3 linked regions of the Saccharomyces cerevisiae S288C genome follow. Changing the gene in region 1 together with any one later gene gives a genetic interaction. Each region holds a gene or a part of one and is shown in the gene's direction. Other genes may lie near its edges.

Evidence for each region. A genetic interaction does not mean that the proteins touch.
Region 2: mutations in RTN1 (region 1) and ERV15 together harm fitness more than expected from each alone (negative genetic interaction), as found in Saccharomyces cerevisiae (2 studies listed by BioGRID).
Region 3: mutations in RTN1 (region 1) and SPO7 are lethal when combined (synthetic lethality), as found in Saccharomyces cerevisiae (2 studies listed by BioGRID, with this or other methods).

Annotation. Positions count from the first base shown.
Region 1 is NC_001136.10:927,589-932,088, reverse strand, and holds RTN1 (Rtn1p), read left to right. Parts: upstream 1-1,731; coding exon 1,732-2,619; downstream 2,620-4,500. Other genes in the region: homoaconitate hydratase LYS4, read right to left, coding at 1-960; HEM1 (5-aminolevulinate synthase), read right to left, coding at 2,991-4,500.
Region 2 is NC_001134.8:643,917-647,169, forward strand, and holds ERV15 (Erv15p), read left to right. Parts: upstream 1-1,633; coding exon 1,634-2,062; downstream 2,063-3,253. Other genes in the region: AME1 (Ame1p), read right to left, coding at 2,242-3,216.
Region 3 is NC_001133.9:134,281-137,824, forward strand, and holds SPO7 (Nem1-Spo7 phosphatase regulatory subunit SPO7), read left to right. Parts: upstream 1-1,573; coding exon 1,574-2,353; downstream 2,354-3,544. Other genes in the region: MDM10 (Mdm10p), read right to left, coding at 1-1,385; FUN14 (Fun14p), read left to right, coding at 2,634-3,230; ERP2 (Erp2p), read right to left, coding at 3,418-3,544. UniProt on the Saccharomyces cerevisiae protein: Regulatory component of the NEM1-SPO7 complex which acts as a phosphatase and dephosphorylates the phosphatidic acid phosphohydrolase PAH1. Essential for the formation of a spherical nucleus and meiotic division.

The DNA of each region.
Region 1 (4,500 bases):
GTTGGAGACCTTAACACTATTTGGACCTGAGACGTAGTGAGTTAGCGTGGCTAGATCGATGATCAGTTTCTTGGCATAATGTGCATCCTTGTCTGCTTTCGGAATCTTCGCCTTTTCTTCTAGTGCGCGGATAGTCTTTGGATTAATCCTTGGATGATTATTGGTGCCCAGCTTTTGCAAACGGTTTTTATACCAGTCGATCAAAGTTTTGTCCACGGGGAACAAACCAGAAAGAGCCCCCCACTCGGTGGTCATGTTAGCAATAGTGAGTCTGTGATCGATAGGCAATGCATTCAAAGAGTCACCCGTGAATTCAATGGCGTGATTTAGAACTTGATCATTGTTGAAAAGCCCACATAATGCGACAATGATATCTTTTCCGGAAACACCCTGAGGCAATTGACCTTTCAACTCAACCTGAGCCACTGGTGGGATCTGCCACCACGTCTGTCCCGTGGCCCATATGGCTGCAGCGTCTGTTCTCACTATTGGAGTGCCCAGCGACCCCAGACCACCGTAGGTGTTTGAATGCGAGTCAGATGCGACAGTCATGTTCAAGGGGAAAGCATAGCCCTCCTCAATCATAATTTGATGACCAATACCTCTACCGGCAGGGTAGTGGTCTATATGGTGTTTCTTAGCAAAATTTTCGATGTTCTTGTACTTGGTCAAATTTTTCTCTGATTTGTTCTGAATATCGTGGTCCAGAGTGGTCACAATCTGTGAAGGATTCTTGATCTTGGTAGCGCCAAGCCCCATGAATTTCAAAGCTACAGGCCACGAATTATCGTGGGACATACAGTGTGCCGGCTTGATCGATACATAGTCACCAGAATGCACAACTTTACCCTCGGGAAGGTTGACCGCATACGACTGAACAATTTTTTCAGTTAGGTTCTGACCTTTCAACCAGGCCCTAGAACTGTGGAACGAACGAGTAAATGTGGTTGATCGTAGCATCTTGAAGCGATACAATTTTGTTTCCTTGCAAGTTCTATTTTATTGAAAAAGTGATATTGTCTACTATAAGAGGCAGCGCAAAACTAGCTATTGCACACACAAACACACGAGGATTCTTTTGTATATATAAATACCTATGGGGATATATATATATATATATATATGTGCGTGTCTGTACGTGTGTGTGGACATGAGATTGTGTATACCTGTGTATGTTGGTGATATTTGCTGCCTCTGGTATAGACTCATCGATTACAAAATTTCAGTCATCTCGAGCAAAATCCCGGGGGAAAAAACAATAAAAATTTTTTTTTTCCAAATCGCTCCATTCTGCTCACTTGACACGAAATTGTTTATCACTTGATACGTGTACATTTTACCGGGTTTGCGGTAATTTCGCACGAACAAGCAGTGAAAAAAGTCATAGGAAAATTTTTCACCGTAGCAGCCAACGCAGTTGCGTTTTTTCCAGTTTTTCCAACACCAGAGGACAGCTTTGGCTATTCTTTTCGGTGTTTGGTGCTGTTGTATCGCTGGCTTGTGGTATCTTCTGTTTCCTATTTAAAGTTGGTCAGTGCCCCCTTTCCAGTGGGCTTCTCCCCTGTGTGGGCTGTTTCTCTTCTATGGCACTTCAACTTCGCATTTTTCAAATTTTTATTCAACAATTCCCTTTTCTTGATCTCTTTCTTTTCAACTCTCAAGCCAAATATTTAATTGTTTCTTCCTACCCGCAAGCGTATATATATATAATATATATTCACACACGCAAATATGTCCGCCTCAGCTCAACATAGCCAAGCCCAACAACAACAACAACAAAAAAGCTGTAATTGCGATTTGCTATTATGGAGGAACCCTGTTCAAACCGGTAAATATTTCGGTGGGTCTCTGTTAGCCTTGTTAATTTTGAAAAAAGTTAACTTGATCACTTTCTTTTTGAAGGTTGCCTACACTATCTTATTCACAACAGGATCTATTGAATTCGTATCCAAGCTCTTTTTGGGACAAGGTTTAATCACCAAGTATGGTCCTAAAGAATGTCCAAATATCGCCGGCTTTATTAAGCCTCATATCGATGAAGCTTTGAAACAGCTACCAGTCTTCCAAGCCCACATAAGAAAGACTGTATTCGCTCAAGTCCCTAAGCACACTTTCAAGACCGCTGTTGCCTTATTTCTACTACACAAATTCTTCTCCTGGTTCTCTATCTGGACCATCGTCTTTGTTGCTGACATTTTTACCTTCACTTTGCCAGTTATCTACCATTCCTACAAGCATGAAATTGATGCTACTGTCGCTCAAGGTGTAGAAATTTCTAAGCAAAAGACCCAAGAGTTTTCTCAAATGGCTTGCGAAAAGACAAAACCATACTTGGACAAGGTTGAATCTAAATTGGGCCCAATTTCCAACTTGGTCAAATCTAAGACTGCTCCTGTGTCTTCTACTGCCGGTCCTCAAACCGCCAGCACTTCTAAGTTGGCCGCTGATGTTCCATTGGAACCAGAGTCTAAGGCTTACACATCTTCAGCTCAAGTTATGCCAGAAGTTCCACAACACGAACCTTCCACTACCCAAGAATTTAACGTCGATGAATTGTCTAATGAATTGAAGAAAAGTACAAAAAACTTGCAAAATGAATTGGAAAAAAACAACGCTTGAGTGCTTTTTTTTTTTCATTTCAAACAAGAATAGCTAACTTTTGTCTCTTTATTTACCACTACATATTACATTAGCCTATATATACTCATACGTTTCTCTCTCTTTACTTTCTGTACCCCCGAGGAAAAATACATAAATTATTTTTGAACTTTCCCTGCTTTTTTACCAACATTGCTACAGTTTAACCATTGCAGTTAAAAGTGCTCATCGTGTTAGTTAAATAAATAAATAATTAAGAGAAATAATAATAAAGTATCATACATAAATAAGAATAAAAAAAAAAAATGAAAAAAAAAAACTGTTAATTTTTTTTTTTACTGATTTACAAATTCCTTGTACCTCTATCTCAGCCCATGCATATATTGGTTGTTTTACTGCTTGATACCACTAGAAACCTCTAGTTGTTTAACGATGGGGTCTCTAACATTAGGGTTCAAGTCGTCATTAGTTAAAGATAGTTGGCTTGATGTCCATAAGTTAGACTCTTCCACAAATCCGCTCTCTCCAACACCCAATAAGCCACCTTGGCTTTCCCAGTCTCTGACACGTGGTAACTGTAGCTCATTGAACACATCATCAACTGCATTGATTAAGATGTCAGATAAATCGTTGGTGTGACCTGGCGTTGGGGTAATTCTCAATCTTTCGGTACCGCGAGCAACCGTAGGGAAGTTGATAGCTTGTACGTAGATTTGATGCTTATTGATTAAGATGTCAGAAGCTTGCTTAGCCAAATCAGCATTACCAATCAACACTGGGACGATATGAGAAGGATTTGGAATAACTGGAATGCCCAACTCATGGAAAGCTTTCTTTACGTACATGGTATGTTTCTGTTGCGAGGTTCTTAGGTCGATGTGGCAACGTTGGTATCTAATTGCTGCGGTAGCGCCTGCCATAACTGAAGGTGGTAAAGTCGTGGTGAAAATGAAACCAGGTGCAAACGATCTGAACCAATCGATCAATTTCCTAGAGGCTGCGACGTAGCCACCTACGCTACCGAAAGACTTACCTAAAGTGCCGGTGATCATGTCGACACGGTCCATCACAGTCTTCGCGCCGCCCTTGTCATTGGTCTTTGGGGTAGCAATACCACTTGCACGGTGACTTTCAAAATCACAATGTTCTGCAACACCTGCACCGTGAGGGCCGTACAGGCCGACCGCATGTACTTCATCCAAGAAGGTCAAAGCACCGTATTTGTCGGCCAAGTCGCAAATTTTTTCTATGTCGGCCACTGAACCGGCCATAGAATATACTGATTCGAAAGCAATTAGTTTAGGAACGGATTTGGGGTATGACTGGAGCAGTTGTTCCAATTCGTTCAAGTCATTATGTTTGAAAATGTGTTTTTTTACGTTAGCATGCTTAATACCGACAATCATGGACGCATGGTTGAGTTCGTCGGAGAAAATCACCAAGTCCTTCATCTTTTGACCCAGTAGGGATAAGACGGCATCGTTGGCTACGTAACATGACGAAAAAACTAAGGCACCTTCCTTCTTGTGTAAAGTGGCCAATTCGGCTTCCAGATTCAAAGTGGGGATGTTATGGCCAGCAATGTTTCTTGTACCACCGGCACCACAACCATACTTGTCGATAGTTTTATGCATGGCGTCCAATACCTCAGGGTGCTTGGAAAGTGCTAAATAGTCGTTGGAACACCAAACGGTGACCTTGTCCGCCTCTCTCTGGCGATGAGCTAGGGGGAACTCCTTGGCCAATCGGTTGATATTGTTGAAATATCTGTACGATTTGTCAAGTCTTTTCTTCTGCAGTTCGGAATCTATCAGGCCTTCGTAATCGAAACCCGACTCCTGGGTGGAATGGTTGGCAGCAGCGGCTGCTGCTGCTGCTGCATGTGTTGATGACGCTGTGGCA
Region 2 (3,253 bases), on another chromosome or scaffold:
TATTTCCAGTATATTTTGTATACCTGATATTATAGCCTTTAGCAACAACGAAATCAACATTTATCTCAAATTTCACCTGTTTCTCATTTTTAAGCGCCTAGCCCATCTAATCATCTTAACTATTCATCAGGGAAAATTAATATACATTGTGCTCTTAATGTTTCGAAAAATAATCAAAATCAATAGAAATAGCGTTTTGCTACTAACAAAGCCCTTTGATCCAAAGTTGGCTTCTGAGAACTTAACATTTCAGTAGAACAAGCCTCAAGCTTAAATGAAGAATGGCAAAGTAAATGAGACCTCTCTCTCCATATTTTGCTCAGAGCCTGTTAAGGAAAACAACACCGCACATTAGTGTGAAAAACTTTCCCCGCAAGCTGTTGGAAGATGAATCATTTATTATCTTTTGACTGTTAGCTACATTACTAGCTGTTATCAATCTCTCAGACGATTATATGAATATTGAGATAGTTGTTGGGATTAACTTATTGTTAGAGGCTATAGCATCAGATATACAAAATAAAATAAAAAGTTCTCCTCCAAGATATAGTGTAATCGATATTTCGATGTAATGCCATCATTATTTCTTCTATTTTATGTATTCCTATTGTCCTCTAACATTGTATCTGATAATATTCTAGTAATAGGATTACCATCACTAAATGATAGTTAATTCTCATTCCAAAACCGACTCCTGTCAATATTGAGGACCCATTTATTCCAACGGTCCAAATCCCCAATATTCCCTGCTCGGCAAGAAGTTAGAAAACATATCTTTCGTGCTCTTGCAGGCTTGCTGTATTATCATAACCGAAGGATGACCAACTTTGATCACCCCAGGTGGCAAAAACATAATACATGGTGGTGGTGTCGTTGTAAAAATCATCTTCTTTGGGTGTGTATAGGATCCCATCCAACACACGTGTTAAAATGACATCAGGTATCAATGCTAATCCGTCGTCACTGACAATAAGCTGAGTTGACATCACCTGATGATGTGAAATAGTAGCAAGAGAACTAGGGTAAGGTTCATGCTGGTTGTTTTCCTATGATGACCAACCTTTGGAATTGGGTAATTCTAGGTGTAGCCTGCTAGCCATCAAACGAGACCTTTCAAAATCTTCAGTCATTACATTTTCTTCTGTAAATAGGGAAAAAAGCCTTTAGCTAGGATTGTTCGGCAATAGAAAGCCCTCCAGTTTAAACTTGACATAGAAAATCTTTAAGGTTAAATCAAACATAAGTTATTATCCGATATAGTGTAACGGCTATCACATCACGCTTTCACCGTGGAGACCGGGGTTCGACTCCCCGTATCGGAGTTATTTTTTGTTTCTATACCATTATTTTTCTTGAATGTTGCATTATGATAGTATAGTTTTGCTATACAAACTTCAATTCTCAAAACACAGTACGTCTAGCTCACTACTACTCTCTCTAATTCAAAATCGTTCACTTCTATCGAAAGCTGTGATAATTTGGAAATATTGTCGTGGGCCACGAATGATTTTTCAATTACATTGCTAAATACGAAGACATTAATACCTTTATTCATATAAGCACTTTCATTATCATTTTTTACTAAAGATAAAACTAACTGCAGGCACCAAGAAGTTCGAAGCCAAGAGTAAAGATGTCAGGAACCGGATTATCGCTATTCGTGACGGGTCTTATACTGAATTGTTTGAATTCCATTTGCCAGATATACTTTACTATATTATATGGTGATCTTGAAGCAGACTATATCAACTCAATCGAACTGTGTAAGAGGGTGAATAGGTTGAGTGTACCAGAGGCAATTCTACAAGCTTTCATTTCTGCATTGTTTCTTTTTAACGGGTACTGGTTCGTATTTCTCTTGAATGTCCCTGTTCTAGCATATAACGCAAGTAAAGTCTACAAGAAAACACATCTACTGGACGCCACGGATATTTTCAGAAAATTGGGTAGATGCAAAATTGAATGCTTTTTAAAATTGGGATTTTACCTTCTCATATTCTTTTTCTACTTCTACAGAATGGTCACAGCGTTACTTGAAAATGATGCAAATTTGATAAGCTAATAGCGACAACAGGAAAAAAAAAGAGAGATTTGTGCATATCTATGAAGTATGTCTACCACATAAAAATGACCTTATAACACAACTTCCTTAGTATGGAAGTAATACATATATACATATATACATATATACATACATATATATATATATATATATATATATACATCTTTTGAACCAATTCCCTATAGACTTGGTTGTAATTCGTTAGAAAGATTTTCATTAATTTTATTTATCTTTTTCAGAAGTCCGTTATATGGATCCATCAAGTCTACGAAATGTGCAATATCCAGAATATTTGAGTCATCCCGTATTGAATCGTCCTCGCTATCTTGGCTCATAATTTTGCGATCTCCCTCGTATTTGCCTAGCAAAGTAGAAGTCAAATCATTTAGCCTCTTATTTAGCTTCACTTTGTCGTTCAGTTTGGCTTGTTCATTTTGTAAGTCATGCCAGTCTTTACCGGCTTTCAACTCTTGAATTTCATTTCGTACCGATATTATCTGCTGGTTCAAATCTTCTTTTCGAGCAAGTACCTGCTTCAGTTGGTAGCAGAGCTCATTATTCGACACGTTGATATCTAATATGTCTTTCAAGTCTCTGGTCATTTGGTCTGATATCGTTTGAAAGAGTCGCAGATCTAATTTGTACAATAGTTTCCTAAATTGATCATCATCACTTTTATTGAAATCCTTCAAAGCTTGCGGAATCAAATCATTTTCAAATAAGTTTATGAATAAAGAAGATAAAACATCAATTGTGGTCACAGAAGTGATAGACGATGATAGCTGTCTAATGGGTATATCATCGAAATTGTAACGAGTAGTAAGGTCTTCATCATTTCTAACATTTTGCGGCGATTCGCTTATAAGACTTTTATTTTCAGAGTCGATCATGGGATAGTCTTCTGCATCCAAGGGCTGATACCCATGTTCATGACGGTCCTGCGCATTTACGTTATTAGTGGTAATAGGAAACTCGAAAGAATTCGCAAGTTTTGGTGAAGACAAAATGGGTTGAACAGGAGATTGAATAGGTGAGTTCTCCTCTCTATAAACAGCATTTGGCGTCTTAAATACAATAACATCATCATCTATATCGTCTGTCCTTCTTGAATGACTGCCCCTCAGCCTAAAAGCTAATTTAGTGTCTCTATCCATACTGAGGTTTTTCTTTAAATGAACACGCAAATAGTCA
Region 3 (3,544 bases), on another chromosome or scaffold:
TTCTTTTCATCATCGGATAAACTTTCTTGAAAGCCTCTAGTGAATACCAGCTCTGTCCCGGCAGATATTAAAAATCCCCTCCATTTGCCTTCCCATAATAGTTTTAAAGTCTTGTCACGTAATGACGTGCTTAATTTCCAAACACTGGTAAAAATGGAACTATTTATTTTGTTATCAAATTTTTCGATGGTAGATCTTTCTTCATCGATTTTTCTTAATGACGACGAGAATGCATAAGTTAAATCATTTAATAGCTTTTGTTTGTGAACAGGTATATCTAGTGTAGAAGGAATATCGTTAACAGCTGAATTCAGATCCGGTACATTTTCGTGCAGTAGTTTAGTCGCTCTGCTGTTTGGATTTATATCAACCAATTCGTCGGAGATTGGTTCTAATTTATCATTATTGTTTTTATTGGTTTCAAGCAAATGATGCTTTTTTTGCCAAAATTCGCACCCAAATGAAAGATTTGATTCAATCGAATAAAGATTAAAATCATACTTCGCGCAAAAAGTAGAATTTGTCCCTGTCTTGGCCGAATATGTGGAGGATATATGGCCGAATAATGGATTCCAAGATAATGTCAAAGTTAGTGGTCGTCCTGTGTTTGTAGAATGTGTGTAATATCTTAAAGTTGTCGAACAACCGGGGCTTAAACTTACTAACCCTAACCAAAATTCAGCACCAAGCGACAACGAAGAATTATTGTACAGTGAGGTGTTAAACTTGGAAGGCGTGGTAAGGAAATTGTGTAATACTCTATAACCACATAATAGATCACTGGTGGAAAATATCCACTCCTGTAAATTGCGGTGAGAATCTCTTTGAAAATAGCACGTTAAAACGTTTAAGCTTTCTTTGAAACTACTGACACCCTTAAGCATAAATTGGGTTTGTGGACTTAGTCGTTTTATTATCATTGCTTCTAAATCAGAGCTGGGGTAGTACATTCTACCATAATAAAGGGATTTTTTAACAAATTTCGAGTCATGTAGTAATTTCTTGTCATTGTCGACTGTGGTGTTGTCACTACTCAACGTATTCGCACTACTAACACTGAAATTGAGGTTTGGTTGCAATTGTCTGTATGTTTCGGTGGCATCTTGTAATGGGATATCAGTAGAGTTGCGCATGAATTTCTCCAATTGCTGTGCATCGGAGTATAAATAACTCAGAGAACCATTTATCCTGGACCTCGTAGAAAAATCTAAAGAATTGAATGTATTGGGAGTAGATTTGTTGGAAATTTGCAGGTGTATTGCTGAGGGAATTCGGAAATCTAATAATGTTCTCGATGTGGCCGTTATATCCTCGTAGCTATTTTGCGTACTCCAATGGGTGCTCTGATAAAATGCCCTTAGTACTTGGTCCATATAGGGTAGCATCAAGATCGGTCTTCTCTGTTCGTGTCTTTTTCCTAACGTATATTTGCTTTGTTTCTTCACTCAACAATAAAGTCAAAGTAAAATTAAATACTAATTATTCTTAAAAGGGAAGATGCGAAATTTAGCGAAAATCTATTGATTATACACACAAAGGAAGAAAGGTAGTGGAAAGCTAAATAAAGGAGGTCATGGAGCCAGAGAGCATAGGCGATGTGGGGAACCATGCCCAGGATGATAGTGCCAGTATAGTGTCCGGGCCTCGCAGGCGTTCTACTAGCAAGACATCCAGTGCGAAGAATATACGGAACTCCAGTAATATCTCTCCAGCATCGATGATTTTCAGGAATTTGTTGATACTGGAGGATGATTTAAGACGCCAAGCTCACGAACAAAAGATACTGAAGTGGCAATTCACTTTGTTCTTAGCGTCTATGGCCGGTGTAGGCGCATTTACCTTCTACGAACTTTATTTCACTTCAGATTATGTCAAGGGCCTCCATAGGGTTATTTTGCAATTCACTCTTTCTTTCATTTCCATTACTGTAGTTCTTTTTCATATCAGTGGACAATATAGAAGAACTATCGTCATTCCAAGAAGATTTTTTACCTCTACTAATAAAGGGATTAGGCAGTTTAATGTGAAGCTAGTTAAAGTACAGTCTACGTGGGACGAGAAATACACAGATTCAGTAAGATTTGTGAGTCGAACAATTGCTTATTGTAATATTTATTGTTTGAAAAAATTTCTGTGGCTTAAAGACGATAATGCCATTGTGAAATTTTGGAAAAGTGTCACGATACAATCCCAACCGAGGATCGGAGCTGTGGATGTGAAATTAGTCCTCAACCCCAGAGCATTTAGTGCAGAGATTAGAGAAGGATGGGAGATTTATAGAGACGAGTTTTGGGCCAGGGAAGGTGCTAGAAGACGCAAACAAGCGCACGAACTCCGACCTAAATCAGAATGAAAGAGTTGGAGGGCTTCTTCCTTCGAATAAGAGGTCATATTTACCTATGTAAAATTGTAACCATCTATGTTCACACATAAATTATATTTTATACATTATTAGAAGTGAAGCTGTTGTGTCGTGAAAATTTTACAAATCCGTCATTTCATATTTAAGTTTTCCAACAAGTGCTAGAAAACCTAGGGGTTGTTGAAATTGGTTAAACAAGGCATCTTATTATACATACAACAGCATAACGCTAGAGGGGCAAGAAGGAAGAACTTAAAATAATAGGTGTAAAATGACTTTGGCTTTTAATATGCAACGGTTGGTGTTTCGTAATTTGAATGTTGGGAAGCGCATGTTCAAGAACGTCCCCTTATGGAGGTTTAATGTCGCCAATAAATTAGGAAAGCCCTTAACTCGCTCTGTAGGGTTAGGCGGTGCTGGCATAGTTGCTGGTGGCTTTTACTTGATGAATCGCCAGCCTTCTAAGTTGATATTCAATGATTCTTTAGGGGCAGCTGTCAAACAACAGGGTCCCTTGGAACCAACTGTGGGCAACAGTACGGCAATTACCGAGGAAAGGAGGAACAAAATAAGTAGTCACAAGCAGATGTTTTTGGGATCATTATTCGGTGTTGTTTTAGGAGTTACGGTGGCTAAGATATCAATTTTGTTTATGTATGTCGGTATTACAAGCATGCTTCTTTGTGAATGGTTACGGTACAAGGGATGGATTCGCATTAATTTGAAAAATATCAAATCTGTAATTGTTTTGAAAGATGTAGACTTGAAGAAACTGCTTATTGATGGGTTATTGGGTACAGAATACATGGGTTTTAAAGTATTCTTTACATTGAGTTTCGTATTAGCAAGTTTAAATGCTAACAAATGAGCAAGACAAATGACCAGATATAAACGAGGGTTATATTCTTTCGTTTTATACTTTTTTATTTTTGGTATTTCATTTATCCTATACAGTAAATATACATAGGGCTAAGGAAGAAAAAAAAATCACGTCGAATATAAACCTAATTGTGTTCTATATTGCGGACATATATTTTTCGTAGATTGAAAAGTTCTTAAACGTAATTTTTTTGACGACCAGTGAAGAGGAATTGAATAAGTAGAACTTGGGCAATACTTATAACGGCAATGATAATGATAATCAATATAGATAACCAAGTCAACCTTGATTCGGTGGAATTG